Linked DNA regions of Schizosaccharomyces pombe. The gene in region 3 interacts genetically with the main gene of each other region. Each region holds a gene or a part of one and is shown on either strand. Other genes may lie near its edges. The genes, in order: mcm4, mus7, cdc23 and rum1.

The links.
Region 1: mutations in cdc23 (region 3) and mcm4 are lethal when combined (synthetic lethality), as found in Schizosaccharomyces pombe (2 studies listed by BioGRID, with this or other methods).
Region 2: mutations in cdc23 (region 3) and mus7 impair growth when combined (synthetic growth defect), as found in Schizosaccharomyces pombe (one study listed by BioGRID).
Region 4: of cdc23 (region 3) and rum1, changing one suppresses a phenotype caused by changing the other (phenotypic suppression), as found in Schizosaccharomyces pombe (one study listed by BioGRID).

What each region holds. Positions count from the first base shown.
Region 1 is NC_003421.2:898,407-903,970, reverse strand, and holds mcm4 (MCM complex subunit Mcm4/Cdc21), read right to left. Parts: upstream 3,584-5,564; 5' UTR 3,570-3,583; coding exon 834-3,569; 3' UTR 546-833; downstream 1-545. Other genes in the region: SPOM_SPCC24B10.02C (NAD/NADH kinase), read left to right, coding at 1-421; 19S proteasome regulatory subunit rpn1302, read left to right, coding at 4,816-4,946, 5,144-5,228, 5,339-5,564. UniProt on the Schizosaccharomyces pombe protein: Acts as a component of the mcm2-7 complex (mcm complex) which is the putative replicative helicase essential for 'once per cell cycle' DNA replication initiation and elongation in eukaryotic cells.
Region 2 is NC_003424.3:2,408,046-2,416,024, forward strand, and holds mus7 (DNA repair protein Mus7/Mms22), read right to left. Parts: upstream 6,003-7,979; 5' UTR 5,926-6,002; coding exon 259-5,925; 3' UTR 91-258; downstream 1-90. Other genes in the region: HbrB family protein involved in TOR signaling Bit2, read right to left, coding at 6,184-7,092. UniProt on the Schizosaccharomyces pombe protein: Involved in protection against replication-dependent DNA damage. May act by restoring active replication forks, repairing unusual DNA structures, and/or preventing aberrant DNA rearrangement at arrested replication forks.
Region 3 is NC_003423.3:4,077,054-4,082,091, reverse strand, and holds cdc23 (MCM-associated protein Mcm10), read right to left. Parts: upstream 3,036-5,038; 5' UTR 2,654-3,035; coding exon 872-2,653; 3' UTR 528-871; downstream 1-527. Other genes in the region: SPOM_SPBC1347.09 (hexaprenyldihydroxybenzoate methyltransferase), read right to left, coding at 3,788-4,642. UniProt on the Schizosaccharomyces pombe protein: Required for DNA synthesis. Required for entry into or completion of S phase. Involved in DNA replication and seems to participate in the activation of the pre-replication complex (pre-RC) and in transcription elongation.
Region 4 is NC_003423.3:2,797,815-2,802,426, reverse strand, and holds rum1 (CDK inhibitor Rum1), read right to left. Parts: upstream 2,751-4,612; 5' UTR 1,839-2,750; coding exon 1,146-1,838; 3' UTR 510-1,145; downstream 1-509. UniProt on the Schizosaccharomyces pombe protein: Regulator of cell cycle G1 phase progression. Ensures the correct sequence of S phase and mitosis in the cell by acting as an inhibitor of the cdc2 mitotic kinase. Probably interacts with cdc2 to inhibit its action until the cell mass for Start is reached.

The DNA.
Region 1 (5,564 bases), on a different chromosome or scaffold from region 3:
GAATGCTGGTGGTTCTCTGGTACATCCTGCACTAAATGCGATTTTAGTAACACCAGTTTGTCCTCATACGCTTTCTTTCCGTCCTATTATTTTACCAGATTACAATGTTTTGAACGTTGAGATCCCTTTGGATTCTCGAAGTAGTGCATTCTTTTCCGTTGACCGTCATGAATCTGTGGAGATGCATAGAGGCGACTATTTATCAATTGTTACGTCTCATTACCCTTTCACAACCATTCAAAATCCAGGATACCAATGGACCAAGGTATTAGAAGATAAATTCAATTGGAATGTGCGTGAGCGTCAAAAGCCCTTTTCTAGAAAACCAAGCTTGAGTGATGTTAAGGATACAAGTGACGATAAATTTGATATTACAGATAATTCCTATTGCAGAGAATTTTCTGCAGACATTGATGGTTAAATTGCTATCCATTTTTCTTTTAATGACATCTGACTACTGTTGAAAATACTTAAAATTAGGCACACACTGCCTCTACGAATCATGGCGAATTATTGGTTACGATTGTTTAGATATCTGTTAGTTTTTTGAAAGTTTATGTTAATTATTATTATTATTATTATTTCAACTTTGGTATTAACGAATTTATATTCATAATGTTTACTCATTGTTCAGTTCATACTCAAAAGCCGAAAAAAAAAAGAAAAATGAATGTTAAGGATCCCTCGATAAATATGTAAAATATTTTTATAACAAAAAGAACGTGTGTATATATAACAAGAAAGACATTCGTATTATGCTCTGTAGTCTTTGATTTTCAACAACGACCTATGGTTTATGGCTCATGAATAATACCAGCTTATTCGCTAAAAAATTAATCAGTCTGTGCAATTGAACGTACAATGCGATGTCCAGCACTGGTAATAACCTTAATACGTCCTCGCCTTTCCAAAGCACCCAGACAAGCTTCGAAATCAGAAGCATCTAAGCGAGTAGAACTCTGCTCACGAAACCGAGTTAACAATTGACTGACCAACATAGTTTTTCCACCCACAGTTAAATTTGAAATTAAATTCGCCAGTTCTTTGACCATATCTTCAGGTACCAAAGTCTCTCTTTCATTAACATAAATTAGGTCAAGAGAAATCTTTCCTGTTGCAGGATCAGTTGCATAATCCTTAATAGCGGTCTTAATCAAGCGAGCAGCTTCAAGAACATCTCCTACCTCAACAACGTTGCGAAGATGCATTTTCGCATGGGCCTCAGATAGACGAATCATTGATTCCAGTTGTCTTGTTGTAGCAGTAATTCTTTTCTCAGATGCTCGCACATCCTCCCCAAGCTTTCGCATACCAACATAAGCATTCACTAGTTCCTTTGCTGCCTCTTCACTAATGACAGGATTAATATTATTTCTAGCATATGTGATATAGCTTGTCAAAAATTCCACACTAAAGACCTCCATATCTGTAGCATGTTCAGGAGTATCTTCCATGTACATAGAAACAATATGATTTGCGAGCTTCCTATCCAGCGTTTCATCCACGCGGTCTAATATTAAATACACCAAATCAAATCTAGATAAGAGAGTAGGCGGAAGATCAATATTTTTGGTGACAGGCAAGTCTGGATTGTATTTGCTTCCAATTGGATTTGCACTAGCTAAAATAGAAGTCCTAGCGTTCAAAGTAGTAATAATGCCAGCCTTGGCAACTGTAACGGTTTGCTGCTCCATAACTTCATGAAGAATAGAACGTGTAGCATCGGACATTTTGTCAAACTCATCAATGCAGCAAATGCCCCCATCTGACAGTACCAAAGCACCACTTTCCAAGACTAGTTGCTTCGTGTCTTGGTCACGAGTAATATAGGCAGTTAAACCAACAGCAGATGAACCCTTGCCACTAGTGTAAACACCTCTGGGTGCTATCTTATGGACATACTTCAAAATTTGAGACTTAGACGTAGATGGATCACCACACATCAAGATATTTATGTCTCCACGATATCTCGGACTTGCGCCTTTATGAAAAGACTTGTTCGTTCCACCAAATAGCTGTAGCAAAAGCCCCTTTTTAACATCATCCATTTCGTAAATGCTAGGTGCCAGAGACCGGGAAAGAATATCGTATATATCGTCCCGCTTTGAAACTTGTTGAATTTTTTCCACTTCTTCGTCTGATATTTTCCGTACTTCATCAATTTGTAAAGCAGCATCTTCAGCAATATCGCTTTCCAACGTAGAAGGATCCGTACCCAAACGACGTTTGTCCTGCTTTTTTATGTGAACAACGTCGACATAAGTTTTAAATAATGATTTTACAGTACGCATGCGAGGGTTCAAACGAACTGGTACACAGCGAAAAATCCCAGTGACTTCTATACGATCTCCTGCTCTAGCAGAGTCAACCAGTTCATCATATACGCACAGACTTACAGAGTGTGGGGTTTGGCCATCCGGTACCACGTCAGGTGTCTCTTGGAGTTTAATAACTTGCTTATCGGCGAATTCAGAACGATTATGAATTAGCTGCATTGCATTTGTAGCACCACAGACTTCTCTAGGGCATTTTATGGGCTCAGCAATTCGCCCTCTATCGATTTCCACGGTAACACAATGACCACAAACTGAACATCGAAAAAATGCTTGCTTCATGTCGGGTATTACAGGTGTACACCTAAGTACCAGACCTTTAATAGAGATCAATTTGTCAATGTCACCAGGATTAAGATCACGCATATTAATGCATTTTTCAAGATTAAAAGGACGAATTTTGTAAATTTTAAGCTCAATGTCATTAAGAACATCTTCGGGAGGATTAGTTCCTAACAAGTCTAGCATAACGTCTTTAATGGTTTGATCCATGATAGGAATGATTTCTTGAGGGTATGAGTAAAGCTGGTGATATAGCTTCTTGGTTGGGGGATAATGCTTTAAATCCTGAACATCAAGATTTAATATTTCCAAACCCATAATACGCATGTTTCGTAGCGCTTCAATATACACTAGTTGTTCGGCATCAGGAGGTGGCATAAGTTCATTTCTGTATTCAGGTCGATACTTTTTCTTAAACCCACGTAGAAATCCACGAAAGGAAGCGATACTTTCTTGAATAGATACATTTGTTCCCCAAATGACACGGACAGTGTCATCAGCTACTTCACTGCTTGGGTGCGCCTGACTAAACGTGAGTGCATCTGACCCAGAAAACAACAAGCTACTAGGAGTGCTTACCCCGGGACGTTGAGGGTCAACTTCTCTTCGACGAGATGGGGTAGACATTTGCACGCTAGAATGGATGTCTCCACGTCTTGTCGAGCGCGGTGTTCTCTGCGAACTACTGTCAAGGAACAAGTCATTACGCTGAGATAAAAGATGAGAACGTGAACTCTGAGGAATGTTTGGACCTGGTGAACTAGATTCAAACAGTAAAGGAGAGGAAGCGAGAGGTGTACGCGCTGTAGTCCTCGGTGTTGTAAGGCGTGTAGAACCAGGAGACGAAGCAGGAAAAAATAACGGAGAAGAATCCACTGCTTCTCTTGAAGAGCTGTTAGCTCTTCCAGGAGTCCTCAACTCATTGGCTCTGCCACTTTGCTGACTAGAGGACATGACTCGTGGTGGGTGTAGAAAGACAGTGTAAGGGAGTAGAGTAACTACTCATAAACATACAACAATGAAGAGATAAATAGCATAGCAAAGATTTAAATAATTGGAAATTTGTATAATTTTTTAACAATTTGTCATATTCTCCATTGATCATCAAGCTACCAGTAATTGACTATGAAAATGTAAACTAAAAAACTTTGCGACACTAGATATTAGGATCAATTAAAGCAAATTTGTTATCATAAATAAGGTATTATGAATTTGTTATTGACTTACTTCCTTTTAAGTGATATTCTATTTTTTTGGACGAATGAAGAGAAATATGAAAAGAATGTTGAAATAAAGGATTACATTGCTTTAATTAAACGTTATGCTAGTTTAACATTTTGAGATGATCGTTTTTGCAATTTGGAACTACCAGTTGTATTTGAAGGTCGAATCTATTAACTGTGATTTGACGCTAATTGAAGAGGGCAGATGGTGATTTAGTAATTTTACTAATAATATTTCTTAAAATAAGGTTTATTTTGAATTTTCTCTCATATTGAATACCTGAGTTGTTATTATATTAACCATTTGTAGAGTTCATTTGACCATTCGACTACTGGACTGTCTCTAATAAAAAAAACTTAAGTCTGTATATTATGAGTTATATGGTGTGAATTTCAAATAGTGTATGAATGTATTTTTCTATTATTTCTAGTGAAATACCATTGTGTAGGACGCATACTTTTTCTCGATTATGTTTTGCTCTTCAAAACCTGAAAGGATTATAGACATTTATTGTATCTTGATTTTCTTCTATGTATAATTGGTGAAAACTGGTTTATTCTGTTTTACTATTGATGCCATTAACGATGATACAAAAATTGGCTTATGTCTTTTCAAGGCCCTTTAAGAGATGAATTCCACTGCATAGTGGAACGTTCCTTTTCCTTTTAAAGTGTAGTATTAATTTGCTATTAAAACATCTTTTTAGGCGAAACCATCAAATGCGGCTTGATAAATCAGCTTCAAATATTAGAGCAGTTAACCACCTAAAAAGATTGTCTATTACATGATAAAAGATGATTATAGTGGCGACAATTAGAAAATTAAATGATTTTGAGAAATCATGTCTATAGACATGATACGTTTGTGTGGATTACTTTGCTCACTTGCACTGTGTACACTGCATACTCAACTATACCACAACAATTCACAAGGTCAATAATCGTGAGCTTTTGAGTTGACAAAAAATAAATTACAAATGGAATCAGTTTTTGGAAGAGTAAGAAACGAGACTAGCGAGAGAGGAAAGTATGGATTAGTCTCCGTAAAAGCTGGAAAACTTCAAAGAAAGCCAGGAACGAATATTCTGCAAGCTGATCACCGAAAAGGGTATGTACTATAATAATAATATAGATAGTAGTCCTTTCTACTGGGAAAACGAAATTCTACCCAAAGAATTGTTTATGAAGCTTCTTTGCATGTTTACGTTGGAAGGATGCGTGAAAATCCACACTGTTGGGTTTTGTGGAATTGTTTTCTGTTTATAAAGTTAAAAGATCTGATTTTTAATACTGACATTTGTTTAGAGTTATCTATATGCAAATGGCTTCTGATGAATTATTGCATTTCTATTGGAAAGAAAGGGCCAGGGTTTCTAGAGAAGTAGAAGATGTATGAAGACAATTTAAATCAATTGCAAAGTATACCTATTTATATATATAAATTTACTTTTGCGTTTTTTTTTTTTTAATTTGGTTTATGTTTACTAACATATAATGAAGGACTACATCATATTTCCAGAAGAAGCAGAGTTTATCAAAATTGATGAATGTACCACGGGACGCGTATATGCACTAAAATTTAAATCCTCTTCGCAGATTCATTTTTACTGGATGCAGGAGTATAGTGATGAAAAAGACAAGGAAACAGCTTCCTTAATCAATCAATTAATTGCTGACCCTGTGAATACGACTCGGACTATCAACTCACATAATAATTCTAGCAGTA
Region 2 (7,979 bases), on a different chromosome or scaffold from region 3:
CCACAGTCATGTGATAATAAAATTACGTACATTAATGGATGTACTAGTAGCAAAAAAAAAGAGCTCTAAGCAAAAGAAATATGCAGAACTGGATTATTTCATTGTCTAATTATTTTGTATACAACAAGAGATAATTAATAAATGAGTTTGTGTATTACACAGACATCAAATGAAATATTAAAAATAAATAAAATAAATAAAATAAACAACGTGGAAACCAAAAGCAACCACAACTGAAAAATCTTTTAATTTTGGCTTTTAAAACAATACAATATCAAAATCATTCTCTTCAGTCATCCAAGAATAGCCGATTTTATCCAAAAAGCATTTGATTTTTGTCGGTAACCCACTCATGTCAGGTGCATAACTGCAAATTACATTGAGAAACCTATCTAATTCAGGCTCTAAAAAACCTTTATCGTGTTTCCATATTTGAATAGTAACTTCCATTAAACCTGACCAGTATTCTTCTTCCTGTTCCACCTGAGAAGGCAAAACTAGTTTTTTCTTCCTAGACTTATGTACAATATTGGTAACGTTGTCGTACCAATCCGCTGAGCAATGTTGCTGAATAGTTTTAACAAATTTGCTACGACAATCAACAGTATTGTAAGGAGGGGGAAACTCAGACCCTTCAATATTCCAACATAATTCAAGAAGGAAGTCTCGAGCTATGCGAGCTAAAAAATTCTGTAAGTTACATATTAAACTAGATGGCAATCCACTGGTTTTGTTTGTCATGCTTATAGCCACAAATGAAGAAATAAGGTAATATATTCTCCCAGAAAGTAAAGGGCGTTTGTTTTCATATAATAAAGCATATTTCTCTAAATCAGCCACAAAAACAGAAATTTCTTCACACAGTAACTGTTGAATGTAAGGTTGCAAATATATACGTCTAAAGCTGTTGTAAGTTCGGCTTAGACCCTCCAGTAGTAACAATGAATAAAACATAGCTGCTAACGAGCCTTCACCAAGGTAACTCAATAAAAGTTCCTTTACACAAAATTTCCGAAGAGAAGAAATCTCGACATCCCATTTGCTGGAGCTATTTTGATTATGGAATCCCATAGCCAGCCTTAAAAGATTAGAAGTTTCAGTTTGCTTTTGTTCTAGCAGAGCAACATCAAAATTTGCTTTTAGGAAACTAAACAAAGCATTTTGAGAAGCTGAATTTGTGAGAGTTTTTCTCGCATAACTTCGTAACCTCAAGGCCGTATATTCGAGACGCTCCGGTGGTTGGGGGAACTTAGTTGAGTCCATAAAATATCTGAGGGCAGGAAGGTTACGATCATTTGCAAATTGACTACAATACTGTAAAATGTCTCCGACAACACGTTGTGAATTAATAACAAACAAAGAGTGAGTATCAGAAGAATGACCATTTGTCTCATAACTATGCTGCATAGAAGACAGTAGAGAGGATAGGTAATGAATAAACAAGCTCTGTAAATATTGAGAGCTCGCGAAACCATTTGTCTTGGCATCAGCATACAGTTTTGCCATGTTGCAAAACACAGCTGTTAATAAATTCAAGTGAACCGACTTAAAGTAATTTATACTAATTTCCTCAATTTTGACGGATATCGGTAAATTAAGCAAAATAGGATTTTTTAGGTTTTTCTGTAATAACAAAATCGTAAATTGTGCAGCATGATCCTCATCTAAAGCGCCCAGTGATTCAAACCATACAGTTAAGACTTTTTCCTCATGTTTTTTAATAAAAGAATCATTATAAGATATAAGGAAGGAATAAAACGTGGTACTGAGAGATCTTTTCAAAGGAGTGTTACGAATCCTTTCCCAAGACTCAGACCCAAAATCGATATAGTAACTCCAGTCATTGATTTTCGCTTCTACAGCAAAACTAGCACAAATTGCCATGCACTCCATTAATGGTAAAAGTAAAATACGAATATAATTTTCTTTGTCCTCGTCATTTCCAACGAGATAAGATATCGTTTGATACAAAAAGGGTGAAACAAATGTTCTCAATATTTGAGCCACTTCGTATTTACGTTCAAACTTTTCTTGTTCTAAAATGAGTGTGTTATCATCCAGCACATCAGAATCAAAGTAAGCATCTTGACTATCATGCGAAGTGCTACCAACAACGGTAACCTTAGGTGGCTCTGTATTAGATTGATACTGCAAAAACTTTTTTAGAAATAAAATACACTCCAGAGTAACGCGAGGAGGAAAAAAATGAGAGTCTTTAAGAATGCGCCGGCATGACTGCTCCGTCACCAAAACGTTTATCCTACTAATATAAACTGAAGAATTGGGAATTAAATCTTGAAGGGAATGGAAAGCTACAATTAGCGCATTTTCAAGTTGATGTTTCGAGTATTCAGCCAATTGCATCTCACCAACAGAAGTTCCATTTGAAAAGAGAGCAAGATATTCATCAAATGTAACTTTTAAAATGGAATTAAACCACTCCATTCCCTGAGCGAGTTCATAATCAGTTCCCTCTTTTATCACATACTTCATTAGGTGAAGCCATGCTTTTAGACTAATTAAACGTGCCTTAAGATGAGAATTATCGACGATTACAATATCCCTAATGCGATTTAAACTGGGCCTACAATTCTCGGGTGCTGCCCAATAAAGACAAATAAGAAGAGTGTGAGTATGTTCCAAAGACATAAAGTCCTTAATTGAGAATGGACTTTCTCGCGTGTATTGACGTGAATGTAAGGGCTGTAATCTGGATACTATCCTCTTGATTGAATTTGTATTTTCATCTACTTGCCTCAAACGGCTTATAGAAATTAAAATAACTTTTAAATAAATTACAAAACATGTATCAAGAGCAGTTACATGAAGATTTGGAGGTCTGTCAAGTGACTTAACAAAATCAGGAAAGTCAGTTGGTGTATCTTCAGATATTTCAGAAGAAAGGTCATTAAACTTTCTATGGCTAAAGAAATCGAATATCAAAAATAGGATTTGAGCCACATCCTCCCAACGCCATTCAGATATGAGAAAATGAATTCGAAGAAACACTGTGCGAAGGTATCGCTCAACCACTTTAACATTGTGTCCGTCCTTATGCATTTTAAATGCACTTTCTGAAACTCTGATTATCAGTGGCCAAAAACTATTGTTTCCTGGTGAATGAGTCGTTCCATTAAGCCCAATTTGGAAAACGGGATTGAGCGTCATTATAACATACCAAATTTTTTCCATTTCTAATATAGACAACTCCTTTTTTTGAAGATCAAAAAATGAATTCACCTGTTCCCACAAAGCATATTTCTTCTTATATACATGAAAAAGAATATGATTTAAAATTGACCAAGATTCCAAAAAAAGAGTGTCAATTACAGTCGTATCTGAAGCTTGAATTCTCAAATTCCGATAACATTCCAATAGACCAGATTGACCAGCAGAAAGAAGTTTTGAAATCAAATCACTTGCCAGCCAGGAAACTTTATTAATGTTTTGCTGATTTCCAAGTTCAAATTCACAATAAAATACAACTTGAAAAGTTTGAAACAACACAGCTATTTTTTCAACCAATTGTGATCTATTCAACCCCGATATAGAAGAAACACGATCATTGACTAATGCATAGGTTTCTAAAAAGGAGGAAGCCAAGTTAACCAAGCCCATTGATACTTGAGAATGAAGAATAAACGCAGAGCAAAAAGAAAGTAGATTGTACAAGTCAACAGTTTCAGAGTTTGTAAAGTATGGAAGATTTTCTAAGACTGTCTCAAAAGTGTCTTTTAATTTTTCGAATGTTTTAAAAACATCATCCTGGATATTGAATAAACAAGAAAAAGCATAAACAGACTTAAAAGGATGTGTGACGATGTCCAATTGAAGAATAGAATTTAACCCTTGGGTTTTTATAAAGGAGTTGTTGGGCAAACTAAGTCCCGGTCTAAAAGTTATGACATTAAATGTAGTAGACCAAATACCTATATTCCAAAAAGGATTTACATCTGTAAAATAATTAGGGTTTGAAGAGGATTGAAAAAAGACGGTGTCAAAATCGTCTCGTATAAATCGTTGAGCCTTCTGCTTTCTTGAAGACTTGCGGATCTCAGTATTTACTTGGGGTACAGCTAAAGTCCCCTCATAACAATCATGTTCTCTTTCCTTTGAGTTTAATTCAATATTGTCCCTAATGTAATGGTCTAATTTGGCAACTTTTTGGCATTTGTCATGTACTGTATGAGTCCTTTTTAACTTTTTGGATTTTTTGTATGAAACGTTATTAGAAAAAAGAGAAGAAAATAGCTTTCTTTTTTTTAAGAGTTCCTCGCTAAAATTTTGAAGATGACTCAAACCGTTATTTGCTGCTGTTTTAGCGTTAATATTTACACTATGCTTTTTAGAATTAACAGAAAAAATATTTCCACCAACTGACTTAGAATCTGAAGGCTTTTTGTAAGAATGAGATTGTTGAACAAGCTCATGTTTACCTGAATACCAATCAGAAAGAACTTGATCAATAACTTGGCGATCGGATTCTTTGTCGAAGGAAAAATACTTTTTGGAATCCATTTGTCTTTTTCTTCTAATCATTTTTGGAATATGAGATGAACTTCGAGCAAACACCCTCAAAAACTTTGGCGCCTTTTTCCCATACGATTCAAGGATAAGGTCTGGTAATTTTTCCACTTCGACATATTTAAATCTATTTTTTTTCATTTTGGTTTTAGTTGTGCGATAGACAGGAATAGTAGAAACAGCATTGGCTGCTACATTTAGCTGAAAGGGGTTTTCCGACGTCAAAGAACTTGATTTTTTAAGAGCGGATAAACTTCTTTTAGGAAGCCATAATTGATCAACCACATCTTCTTTCAACCAGCCATTATCACGAGAAATTGAATCTAAAAACTCGCTGGTGTCAAACCGTGAATCATCAGTTGGTGTTGGCGTAGAAATGCTATTGTCAGAATCCGATATTTCGTTTCCTAATTCACTAGATAGTTTAGCTGTCGATCTAGGATGCAACTTCCGTCGAGCCACACCTTTTATTTTTTCTCCCTCAATAACACTCTTGTGTAATGATGTCTTTTTTTTGACACCTCTATTTTCCAATTTTTTTTTTTCTTGAAGAGTTAGAAATGATGGTGGTAAAACTCCTCGTAATCTTTTCTTTAAAGTTTTCAAATTCAGATCACTCACAGTAGAATTCGATGAGATATTTGTCATAGACTGATCCGAATCGGAAAGTAAAGACTCAGATTCTAAAGCCTCTTTGCTAGTTGAGGTTTTCTTTCCTTCAATAGTAGACGACAATGCGAGGTCATTGTCAGCTGTATTCAGATTAGATTCCTTTGAATGATCTTGCTCAGTATTAGACTCATCATCATCGCTATCAGATATTACAGCTCCATACCTTCTAAAGCGATGAGTAGAGGTCAAGGGTGGTTTACGTGAAGAAGCACGATTACGAACTATAACATTTACAGGTTTATGAGAGGACTTAGAAGTAATAGATCGATCAGAAGAAAAACCATGCGGTACGGTGATGGGTACCAAGCCTATTCTTTTAAACTCTATTTGATGCCTTAAGAAATCGTAAGTATAAGGCCGGGTTTGCTCAGGACGTCTAGGGCGAAAATCTCTTTTAACAACAACCGCTTCGTGTTCGGCATCTTTTTTAAAAACCTCAGTTCGTTTGTTTTCTTCTTCCCTCTTTGTTTCAGCTAAATTTTGATCACTTTTTTCAAAAGAAACATTCCTATTCAATTCGGGCAATGAAGACACCGATGACTTTGTAGAACCGATGGTGGTTTCATTGTTCAGAATTTCTAGCTTATTTTGATTTTTTTCTTTAGTAGCCGGCGTAATTCCATCGTATTCATTTCCACGTTGTGAAATTAAAGACCCATGAGTATTTGACCATTCACTTCCAGAATCCTGAGAGTCAGACACATGGTCAAGTAAAAGGAAACTATTCATCCTACAAACCCATGGGAAAGATGGTATTACATAAGAGGGCTTAGAAGAGTTCTTTCGATTTTAAAAAGTGTCTATATGGAGGTCCTGTTGCATACTCCAGTTAGCAAAATAGAAACACCATTGAGTAACAAGGAATAGGTAACATTATTAAATACCTAACAAAAGCCGCAAATATTAAAAGATAAATTGCTTAAATGGGCTTTAAAAACAAATATTGAAAGTATAAAAAGTCTATCTTCTATTAAAACATATTAAATTTCAGACATATAAAAATTTTAAAGTCAGTTCGTTTAGCCAGTTCATTAGAAGATCTTCGGATTCATCTTGTGGCTTTATGAGAGAAATAATGGAAATCATCTGGACGAGTAAAATCTGCTGCTGAGTATTCAATTGAGGAATTTCAATGAATCGATTTGTCTTTTTCAGCTTTGGCATTACAACAAATTTACGAAACACCCAAATAGAAAACAGTTTCAAATCTATATTAGCACTCTTTTTTAACCAGTACGTTTTCATGGGCTCTTCAAATAATTGAGCAATCTCAAATTTTGCAAAAGTAACAGGCAAAAACGTAGCTTCGATATACGGCAATATTTCTAAATAAAAAATCGACCACACCTCAACAAGATAGTGTAGAAAGGAAGACTCATTGCTATTCATACCCAGCAATGAAATGTCAATTATCAGTCCAATTCGCATATTTCCCAAAAGCTCTTCAAAATCGCTTATTGCTTCGCAAGCGCATATACACCGCAGCACTAAAAAATTTAAATCTTCGATAATAACCTTTTTTTTCCAATTCTTCTTATCCTGTTCGGTGTAACGATGTTGCGGAAATATTGGTCTCATAGCAATGTTTAATTGTTTCCACGCTACCAACACAGTTAGCGGTCTTAGTTTATCAATTGCAGTTAATCGATGCGACATTTTATATCGCTTGAGAATAGAGAGTTTTCCCTTGTCAATAGATGGATGAGAGACTAGAGATCCATTAGAAACGATTGAAGCATCAGATATCGTCTTCCTTCTTTTTTTTTTAGACTTTACCGAATCTAAGTTAGATGTAGTGGTTCGATTTTCATCATTGTGAAACAAAAAAAAACAAGGGCATTGAACTTTGATAGTCGTTAACCCTAAATAAATTTTCCATTTATCCCTCAATTTCATTTCTAGCTTTTTTAAATATTAGACAATGGTAGATTTTAAAAGTTGAAATTCGTTGTTTGCATTTCTGTATCGCAGGCGTAAGTTACGTCAATAGATTCAATTACTCTATAAAAAATAAGCTTAATTTAACGAACTTGACAAAGGCTATATTTAATAACATGCGTCACGCACACTAAATAAATAATACAAAATATGAAACAGTATCACGTTAATTTTCGGATTTCTATTTTTCCAAGGTCCATTGTCGATGACTAAGTTTCTTTATTTCATGAACTTTTTTTTAAAGCCAATTTGAGCATATGCTACACCAAAAAAATGTGTATGGTCGATTTCCATGGCTCAAAGTTGTGAATATATTCATCGCTTTTGTAATACCTGCAATTCTACTATATGTTATGCTACATTATGCTTGTCTATCGCTAAATATCATATGTTAGAATATTAGCTAAGGTGTTTTTATTGGTAATTGAGAATAACTATTCTGTATACAAAAATACCCGCTGGTAACATCTATTAGATAATTACGAATAGAAGCTATAACTGAACTGAGGAACGAGGTTCAGCTGTAGGCAATATTAGTGATGGCTAAAAATGTAATCATATAGAATACTAATAACAAGTTGCTACTTACATTACCAGTATAGTGCAATATAATAGATAACAAGGAGATTTCGACGTAATCCAACGTATCGTTACAACAGATAACAAACTGCGTAGCTGATATAGGAATCCTAATAATATTTTATTCTTGGTATATTTAATAAATAATGTTGAGATGCTAAATCAACAATTCAATGAAGCCATCAATTGTCACAAAGCGTTTAATGCATTTTTAATTATTCATATTTGGTGCTCAATAAGTTTACTAAGCCTTGATGATTTAACAA
Region 3 (5,038 bases):
TCAGCGAAGAAAGAAAAAAAAAATTTTCTTAACTAATTAAACCAACGAATAAAAAATTTTTTTTCTGAAGATGACCGTGTTGATCAAACCAATATTCTTTATTGTTCACTAAAAAGAATATCAAAAGAAGTATTTAGTAGTAGCTAAAATGTATTAACTTTTTACTTTAGAATGTCTCGCAATTGACTTTGATTAGACACTGTTTAGGTGGGACGCAACAATTGTTGGATGGCGAGGTCTCTTAGATGGAAGCCCGCATTTATATAGTTTTAGACTATTTATTTGCCTTTTCCTTTGTGACGAATTCAGATAGCTTTCCTTACTGATAAGAATGCGATACCCGTTCCATACGGCGCAACGTTAAAATAGGCGACTAGCAGTGTAAAGTCCGATACCTAGACGAAAGCAATCGTAAGCTAAAGGTGTCGACAGTACCTCAGTTTGGCTGGCTATCTTAGTATTGCTTACAAGCCCATCATACCATATGAAAGTAAGCTTACGTTCGTTTGATTAATAAACAATGTGATGTCAAAAGCTGTAACGGCCGTTCTTGTATGAGAGAGAAGCTAGCAGAACAAAAAAGGGAGACTTCGCACATTGAATTCAAACAGTTGACATCACAAATGAAAAGAGCGACTGTGTTTAATAAGCGTTTCAAATATTCCATTGGGATTTACTAAGGATTAGGATTTAGAAGAAAGGTTTAACAAAGGGTTGAAAGTTTCATGATAGCAAAGTGTGTCGCATGTAAACAAAAGAACATTCATTTGAAATCATAGCTATATCCATTAGCTAGCTAATTAATTAGTAAGTTGGTTAGTAATTTAAATAATTAATTTTCATCATAATGTATAGAAAAACAACGTAAAATTCAGGGAACTATTTCTAAGTCATCCTCATCATCACTCTCAGTAAATTCATATCGGAATTTGATATTTTTTAGGGAGCCGGATCGTGAAAGTCCAGTCGCTGTGGAGTGCGTTGTAGATGCATCTGCGGAATGCGTTGGATCGAAACCTATTTTTCGTAGACTTTGGGGGGAAAAAATCCTCGGCGAAGAGGTAAACACTACCGCTGGGGAAACTTTGGTGGATGTAGTATCTTGTGGAACGGGTGTCCCTGATGCCGCATCGTTAGTGCCGAGAATAGCAGAGTTAGAAAAAGATGGTAGAGAGGATTTAGGGTTCATTATAGATGCATTAAAAGAGGCCAGAACGGATGGTTTTTTCGTCGATGAATCAATTTCGCTATCTTTAGAAAGAGCAGTGGGATTACCCTTGTCATGTAAATTTTTAACGCCGGAACCTTGTAAATTTAGATACTGATGGCCGAGTGTTCGCATCGACATTCCCGTAGAGAGGTTATTCGAGTTAGAGCTAGACGAAGAGGAAGCGCAACATCGCTTCGATAATCGCACCAAAATTTCACGCTCGCGTTCAGCCTGCGCTCGTTGTTTTTTGTATCGTTCCTTGCGCTCCCTCTCGGTCTGAACGGCGTCTTCTGCATCATACAAACCAGCTACTGCGTTAGGAATTGCGGAATACTTTTCCCCAGCAAAGTATCCTTGGAACCCTTGTCCACGAAATCGCTTTTCACGTCGTGCGCGAGGCTCGTGCATAGTCGCCATACTTGAAGCAAACTCCGTTCGCGTAGACATGGACCGCTGGACAGCGAGGTCAACGTGATATTCACATACATCTCCGGCACGCTTGTCGAGCCAATGTTTACATAGTTCACCGCTTTTTCTTCGGCTGGAACAATAGCCAAGGTGTTTGGAGCGACCAATCTCTAAAAGTACATCGTACTCAGAATCCAGCTTCAGAGAAAAGCGTCCAATGTCTGGGTTCTTTGGCTTTAGTACTTCAGGATTGAGAAGCGCAATGACAGTACCACTCTGGATCTTCCAGTATCGTTCAAACGCCTTTCCAAACAGGAAGCACTCCAGTTGCCATTTCAAGTCAGTCAGTGTTAGCATACAATATTTATTCCCATTCACAGTTTCTCTGGTTCCACTATTACTGGCAACAATGCCCATAACTACATAGTTGTCAACTTCTGGCGCTTCAAATTTAGGAGCTCTTACTAGTTTGAGTAGTTGGTGAATGAGATAAACTTGATTTCCCCCTATATTTTCCTTAGCAACCTCATCACTTATGTATCGAATAACAATGGCTTGTCTTGAATAAGGATCGATTTCATCACATTTCATAGGAAATTTCTCCTCTTCACTTTTTCCATCTTCAAGTATGTTTCGCTTCCTCTGGAACGATTGCTTTCTATTTTTTTTCATCGTTTTCAATTTATCGCTCCTCTTCCTTTCTTGGTTCCTTGCCTCTGCAAGTCGTTCGTGAAATGGTTTTGGTAGAGGCCCTCGAGGCCCTTTTCCTAATGAAACATCTTTCCCCGTCTTTCCTTTATCGATTCCTAATATCAATCGCTTGGGACTTTTTAGTTTACTAGGCGAGCTGACTGTAAGGACACGAACTTGCTGAGGAGGAGATCTTGGAACCTGAATAACTTCAGCGTTCTCCGAAGAAGCCTCCTTTTGAGCACTTCGTAGACGCTTCTTTTCTTGAATTTCATTTAGCTGCCTCTGTAACCTCTTTTCTTCCAGGTCCAAGTCATTTTCTTCTGCAATGAAGGGATCATGCATACTTGCATTAATTAAACTTGGTTTCCTCTTAATCTTAAACCTCCAAAGTCAATGATAAAAAAAACCCCCCGCCTGTTAGATATAGTCAATTTCTCACGAATACTGAAACTTTTCAACCCAACCCTAGAAAACTAGCTTTTCAGGAAATTAAAAAAACTCTGATCAATAAAATTTTCTTCTCTATTGTATGAGTAGCCAAAACAAATAACAGGATAAATTTAATACTGCCACATTTGTATTTTGAAATGCGAAGATATTGTTGAAAAGTTTAGTGCCAAAAACAGGAAATTCTTTAGTCCTGGAAAAGGAAGCAAGTAATAATTATAAATCTTTTTAACAAGATATTCTTATTTTCCAATACTTAAAAATCGCGGTTAAACATATAGGAATGTAAACAGTTAGCGGACATCTAAAGGACATGTGTTTAAGGATGCAAAATGTAGTGCATAAACAAGCATAATGTGCAAAATTAAATCCTCTCTATACTACACATGCTATAGGTAAACAACATAACTGCAGTTTGAATAATAAAAGGTTAAAATAGATGCGCTAATTTAATGAGTATACACGTTCGATATCACGAATTCATTTACATAATATAAACTTACGATATTTGTCTATATAGAATCATAAAAGATGTGTCTACAGTATTCAAATGCATATAGTAACTTATTTAAAAGGGGTATTTTGAACAGTTAAATTTTAAACGTCGAACTTTTTTTTACATTTGGTGGAAGAGATTGCCTAGTTTCCGTTGTCTATTCAAATTTGCGCTTAATATTAAAATCTTTGTGACAACAGTTGGCCAGTTCTTTTGAAACCAACTTATGAAGAAAAATCATATAACGAAATTTCCAGTATTGTATAAAAAAAGCCTGTAATCCCACATAATATTTGGTTGATCATATTCGAAATTGTCGTTTCAATGAAGTTTAGTCCTTTCTGAATGCTCAGTATGTAGTTTCGTTTAAATGAATCACCGGGACTCACAGTGTTATAAGTTATCATAAGCTATCAATTTAATGGACATCAATACTTGTTTAAATGAAGCAATTCCTGGTCTGATTGCTTCACCTTCTAAAATCGGGTACCCAGACCATTCATTTGTTTATCCCTAATTAAAAATTAAGGGGATCATGTTTTGATACCACTAATAACCATCAGCTGTAATTTTACCTCATACAGCTTCTCTCCGTTAGCTAAATCTAAGGTTTTAGCGTCTTTTGACTGGGTTGACCGTTGATACTTAGCTTCATCGACCCACACATTTGCCTGAGCTTTACCAATGACTTCAGCGTTTGACAAAGATGCATTTTTGAATAAATTCAAAATTGATTGCGGAGTAAATCCACCATGATGAGCTACGCCAAGCTTAGCTATTTCATCAGGATGCAAATTACCATGAAAAGTATCACCCCCCTTTATTAAATCTGCGACAAATAATCGACCATTAGGTTTTAAAAGTTTAGAAAGCTTATTAGTCACTTCCTGTAGGTCCTTGATATGATGATATGCCATGGAGCATACAACAGCATCAAATTCAGTAGAAAATGGTTCATCGCCGTTGCCATCCAAATCATCCAAACTTAAAACATATGCACAGGCTCTTTCTTTGGGAATGTTCATCTTTCTAAATTTTTCATTATAAACGTCCACCATGTCTTGGGAAACGTCTATGCCAACAATTTGTTTACAGTAAGGGAACAGGTGTTGGCTAATTAAACCAGTTCCACAAGCAAAATCCAATATACTCATACCACTTTTCTTCCAAAAATTATTTACATTTGTCAAATCATCATCCGAAGTTAAAAGCAGCCTATCTTGATCATATTTTGGGAGATCATGTCTTAGGCTGGTTTCGGAATTGTCTTCAAACTGTAAAATTTTTGAAGAAATCACTTTGGAAATCGCCAAGGTACTTGGATTGTCATATTTCGATGCTTCTATTTTGTTGTAATGAGACACGTTGGCATAAACTATATCCGACATGATATTTTAGTTCCTTTTATATTGTTAATGAACGGTGAAGTCTTGCTAATAGGAATATTAAAAAAAAAGATAATCAAGGACTATCTTTAAATGGTTATGACTGAAAATTTATGTCACAAGGTACCACGATTATGAAAGATTAGCACAATTTCCCTTTTTATGATTAATATAACTAAAACTTATTAAGCGAGAATTTGTTTAGAACTATTATTGGATGTTAGACAGAAAAGAGCCTGTTAATATAGAAACTTCAGTAGCTTCTTATTTTAACTAAATTATTGTATTCGACAGATTAGGATTCCTGTGACCGTCCTTTTGCTTTTGTATAACGCTCATTTTTGTATTACCCTAATACCCGAATTTTGTAAATAAGCTTGGACTTTTTATATACTACTG
Region 4 (4,612 bases), 1.3 Mb from region 3:
GCTTCGTAAAAAGCTAAGGAGTGTTCGGATATGCCACAAAATGATTCACTAACTTTTGTGTTATTTTATATGCTCAGTATGGTAGAGGGGAGAAACACGGGTACCATGTAAATATAAGAGTTACGAATTTTTAACGAACTTCACTGTGATGTAAGTGGCTTCCTTGTTGTCATTTTGCAGTGCAAATGTAAATAAAAGTGACATTATGTAAACAAATCATCTTACCGCTCAGGTAACATAAATAAATACATTATTCATCATGCTTCATGGTGTGAAGAAAAAATGTTAGTCAAGTAGAGTCGGTTAGGCCTAATTATTACTTCAATGAACGAAACGATATTACACTATAATTTTACCCAAAGACTCCTTTCATACGCTTAGAACCAGTTTTGTTATCCATTTGTAGGATTTCAGTACCAGCTAGTAAACTTCACTATATCACCAAACCACAAATTAACTCAATGTAACAGCAATACCGTAATGTGTATAACTGTCTAAGAAGCCTAGAATAGTATTGTATATGCGGTATAAAAATACCTTTTTATTACTGGGATAAAACAATTGAATATAAAACTAGTTATTGAGAATAACAGACTATAGTTTCCAAACCAGCAAAAAATTTAGAAATCGAATAGCATTATTAACTAATCGATAAATACAACATTTCAGAATATATTCACTCTCTGAACAAAGAAAAGAAAATTGTGAAAGCCATGTAATATTAGTATAAGTCTTAAAGTAAAAGCTCAGTGGATGAAATTAGGAAATAAGTTAAACGTATAATATTTCAAAGCATGCCGTAAAAGGTTGCTAAAAAAAGTTGCAATGGCTCAGGGCAGACACGGGAGGACGATAAAAAATTAAGTTGCCAAATGGAATATGAATAGGCACAAATGGAAAGATGGGGAAATGTAATTATAGATACTCAATTAAGAAAATCGTGGTGATATTGTGGTGATATTACCATGAATGACTAACGACCAGCGTTTGTCAAAATGCATTTTCATCAAGAATAGAGAATAGGAGGTTCTGATCTACTACCAAAAGTTCAAACGAACGATTATCATGAATAAGGCAGAAGAGTATTTCGTGATTGGGCATTTATATAAACGGTATCAAACACAATTACAAAATGCGAAAAAAAGTTATCGTAATAAATTGTGCCTGTTTTCATCTTTTGTATTAGATCGTGATTTTTGTGGTGATGAATACGCAGGTAAACGCATTTGCGGTGGGGGAGCAACAAAGGAACCTGACGAGGAAGATGGAACCCTTGATTTTAACGAGAACATTTTATTCCCAATAGAATTCAGGTTTGGAGGGAGAATGCCAATTTGAGAATAGTCATTAAGGTCTACAGAGGATGTTGGGTTATCTGAACTAGAAGAAGGCGCCGAGTCAGCAAACAAGAGTTTGGGCTTAAAAGTAGATAAATCAGTTCCAGGCCTGAAGGATTTCTTGATTCTTTTCCCCCGAAAAACATAGTACAAACCATCAGAAGGAGGAGGAGTAGGCTTTCTCTTCTTTCTTGACAAAAGCTGGTTATCAGATGAACTGAGAAAAGGATTGTGTTCTCTGTCTTCTTCCATACATCTTTCTAAAGAATTACTCCGATCTTGTAGCATTAAATTTGGTAGTAATTGCTTTTTGGGAGTTTTAGCAGGTGTAGGTGGAAATGTGCTAACTTGAGGTGCTGGTAAATCGCTTTCAGGGATTTCATCTATCATAATAGAAGAATTACCTTCTAACGAAGCATCGATGACTCCTTTAAAACTCCCAGGAGACTCTGGGGTAGATGGAGTACACAACCCTCGCATAGGTGGTGTTGAAGGTTCCATAGCGAACTGACAATCCAAAAACCAGGTAAATGCAAGAAGAAATCCTTTATGTATCGAGCGGATTATCAGAAGAGCGTGTATTCAAGCTTTCCGATATGATTTAAAAAATGTATTTTTCAATGGTTTTTGGGTGTAGGAAAATTCAGCACCAGAAATGTTCACAAGTTACCTGTAGCAAACGAAAAGGTAACAATTTAATACCCACCAAGCTAGCGACTGCGCTTTGATAATTATACAATTTAAACAATATTTGTAAAATTGTTTGAAATAATATAGAAACAATTGAAATGGCTTCAATATATCAAAAGGAAGGAACAAAATGGGATTGTAGCTTGTAAGAAAGGTATTGAAATTTTCGGAGTAAACAAAAAAAAGGAATCTTTTAGAAAACGGGAATGGGAAAATGTCTATTTTAAAAAGCAAAATTTCACTTCATACCAAGAAGTAAGTGCAGCTAAAATATCAAAGAATCAACCAATCAAAAAAAGATATGTGCCAACTTTAAAATTGTAAATAGAATAATTAACAAGGAAAAATATTCTTTCTAATGTTAGAATTTAAAAACTAGTTGGTTGTTTGCTTAGACGAATTCAACTTTTTCACATAGAAATTGAATGCTCGATTTCTTATAAAGATGCTACCGTTCCTTGTAAAGAGTATAATTCAAAATTAAATTTTAAAAATAAAAAACTGATAAAAAAGCGGATTCTCTTTGACCAAATTCGTACAATTTAGTAATATATTACTGCAGCACTCAAGTAAACACACACGAATCAAGACTAAACAAGATCAATTGATTGTATATTATATATAATCCAAAACAAAAAAATTCAGTTTGCAACAACCGCTGTCAAGGAACCCAAAGCTTATGTATGTAGTAGTAGAACTGTATGTTTGACGTTCTGGTTAACTGGTTATTTGCTCATTTCGTGGTAACCATTACTATTAGATGGCTGTAACGCAGTACGCTAAATTAATTACTTTGATCAAGTACAATTTTTGCATAAATGTGTAGTTAGATTTTAAATGAGAATCGATTTTCTGTTCTCTTTAGCAAAAATCTAAAAAATTTACTAACAATTTTAAGCATCATAGAAATATTCCAGTTCGAAAATAAAAATATATGACTGCAAAACCGTAAATAAAAGTAAACTACATTTGAAGTTCTAATAAAGAAGAAACTTCGCGAGTATGGTAAATGAAATAAGTCTCTTATTGTTATTTAAAAGCAAGTACTATCAAAACTAATTCAAGGGATATTTCGTTAAGATTGTTCCTTATTAGCAAATTGATGGTATAAGCAATATTTATTACCTTAGCTCAAATGCAGGAAAAATGGATTTATGAAGAATCGACTATCTTTCAAACACCATTTTCAAATCGAAATGGGAACAGCAATATGCAAAGTAAATACACGGTTGCTACATCGCTAAGTATTTCCAAAATATATCACAATTGTTAAAAATTAAATCGTGACAATGTTTATTTATGTGTTTAAGGAATACGCTACTAACATAATTTATCAAAAAATATTATAAACATATTGGTCAATAATTAAAATATTCATAAATGAATGTTCATGTTATGACTTATTTTACGCTTCATTACCTATTGTTTACAATAAATAGTATCAATGCATTTGCCAAATGAAACAATTAAAATGATAGGTTCGTTAAATTAAAAATTAAAAATATGTTTCCTCTTCAAAAACTATTATCAAAATGTAATGCACATAACTAACTCTTTATTCAATTCATTTCTTCTTCTCTGCCTGTGTAAACACTAACCTCTGCCTCATATTTCCTATCGTTCTTATTCTAAGGGACAACTGGAGTCGCTGCAATTTTCTTTTCAAACTGTTTCATTTAATTTATTATATTTTTTGTAAAAAAAAATAAAAACAACCTTCGTCTACTCTTTGTACTGAATTTCTTTAAACAATTCGCACATCTTCAATCGAATACTTTGTTAGGCTTAAATTGCACACAAGAAATTATTTTCTATACTTGAGTTAATTATATATTTTTTAGTGATTTTTTCTTGTCTTCAGTTAATAGGATAGTCTATCTTTTTCTTTGAACATGACATCTGAATTGCAACAAGAACTACAGATTTTAAGGAGCTTTAATTACACTATAGAAAAGCTTACGGATGGTCTTTCTGCTTCTAAAGAAAAAATAAAGTCATTCGAAACCTCCATTAACAACTCGAATCGTCTAATACAATTATGGTCATCGGTTCTAAGCCAAACGGAGCATACTCAGAATCTAATACTAAATAGCGACTGGAAAGGTTTGTCTTTTGATAATGAAGAATTAGAAAGATTGCAACATCAAAAAATGCTTCAAATACAAGCCGAAGAGCAGAGAAAGATCGAATTACAACAAGAACAAGAACGACTTGAACAAGAACGAAGGCAAAAAGAGGAAGCTATAGCTCTTCAAAAACAACAGCAGCAAAGGTTATTAAGGTCTAAAGATCCAAAGGTCCGACCTGCAAGAAGAGCCGCATCTTCATATGTACCTTCTAGGCCTTCCCATGTTCCCAAGGTCTTCATCCATGAATGTGCGTTCTCGGGTTAGCATGGCTACGACTTCTAACCCAAACTCACTTAGGACTCCTTCTTCATCTTTTGCAAGTCATCGCCAATCCGCAATTCCAAAATCGGCCACCTCCTCTGCTCCTACTATACCAACATCCAACTTGCCATCCGTAGCAAGTTCGATTCCTAATAATGGTCTCAATTCTTCAAATAGAAAAAGTATAATTTCTAA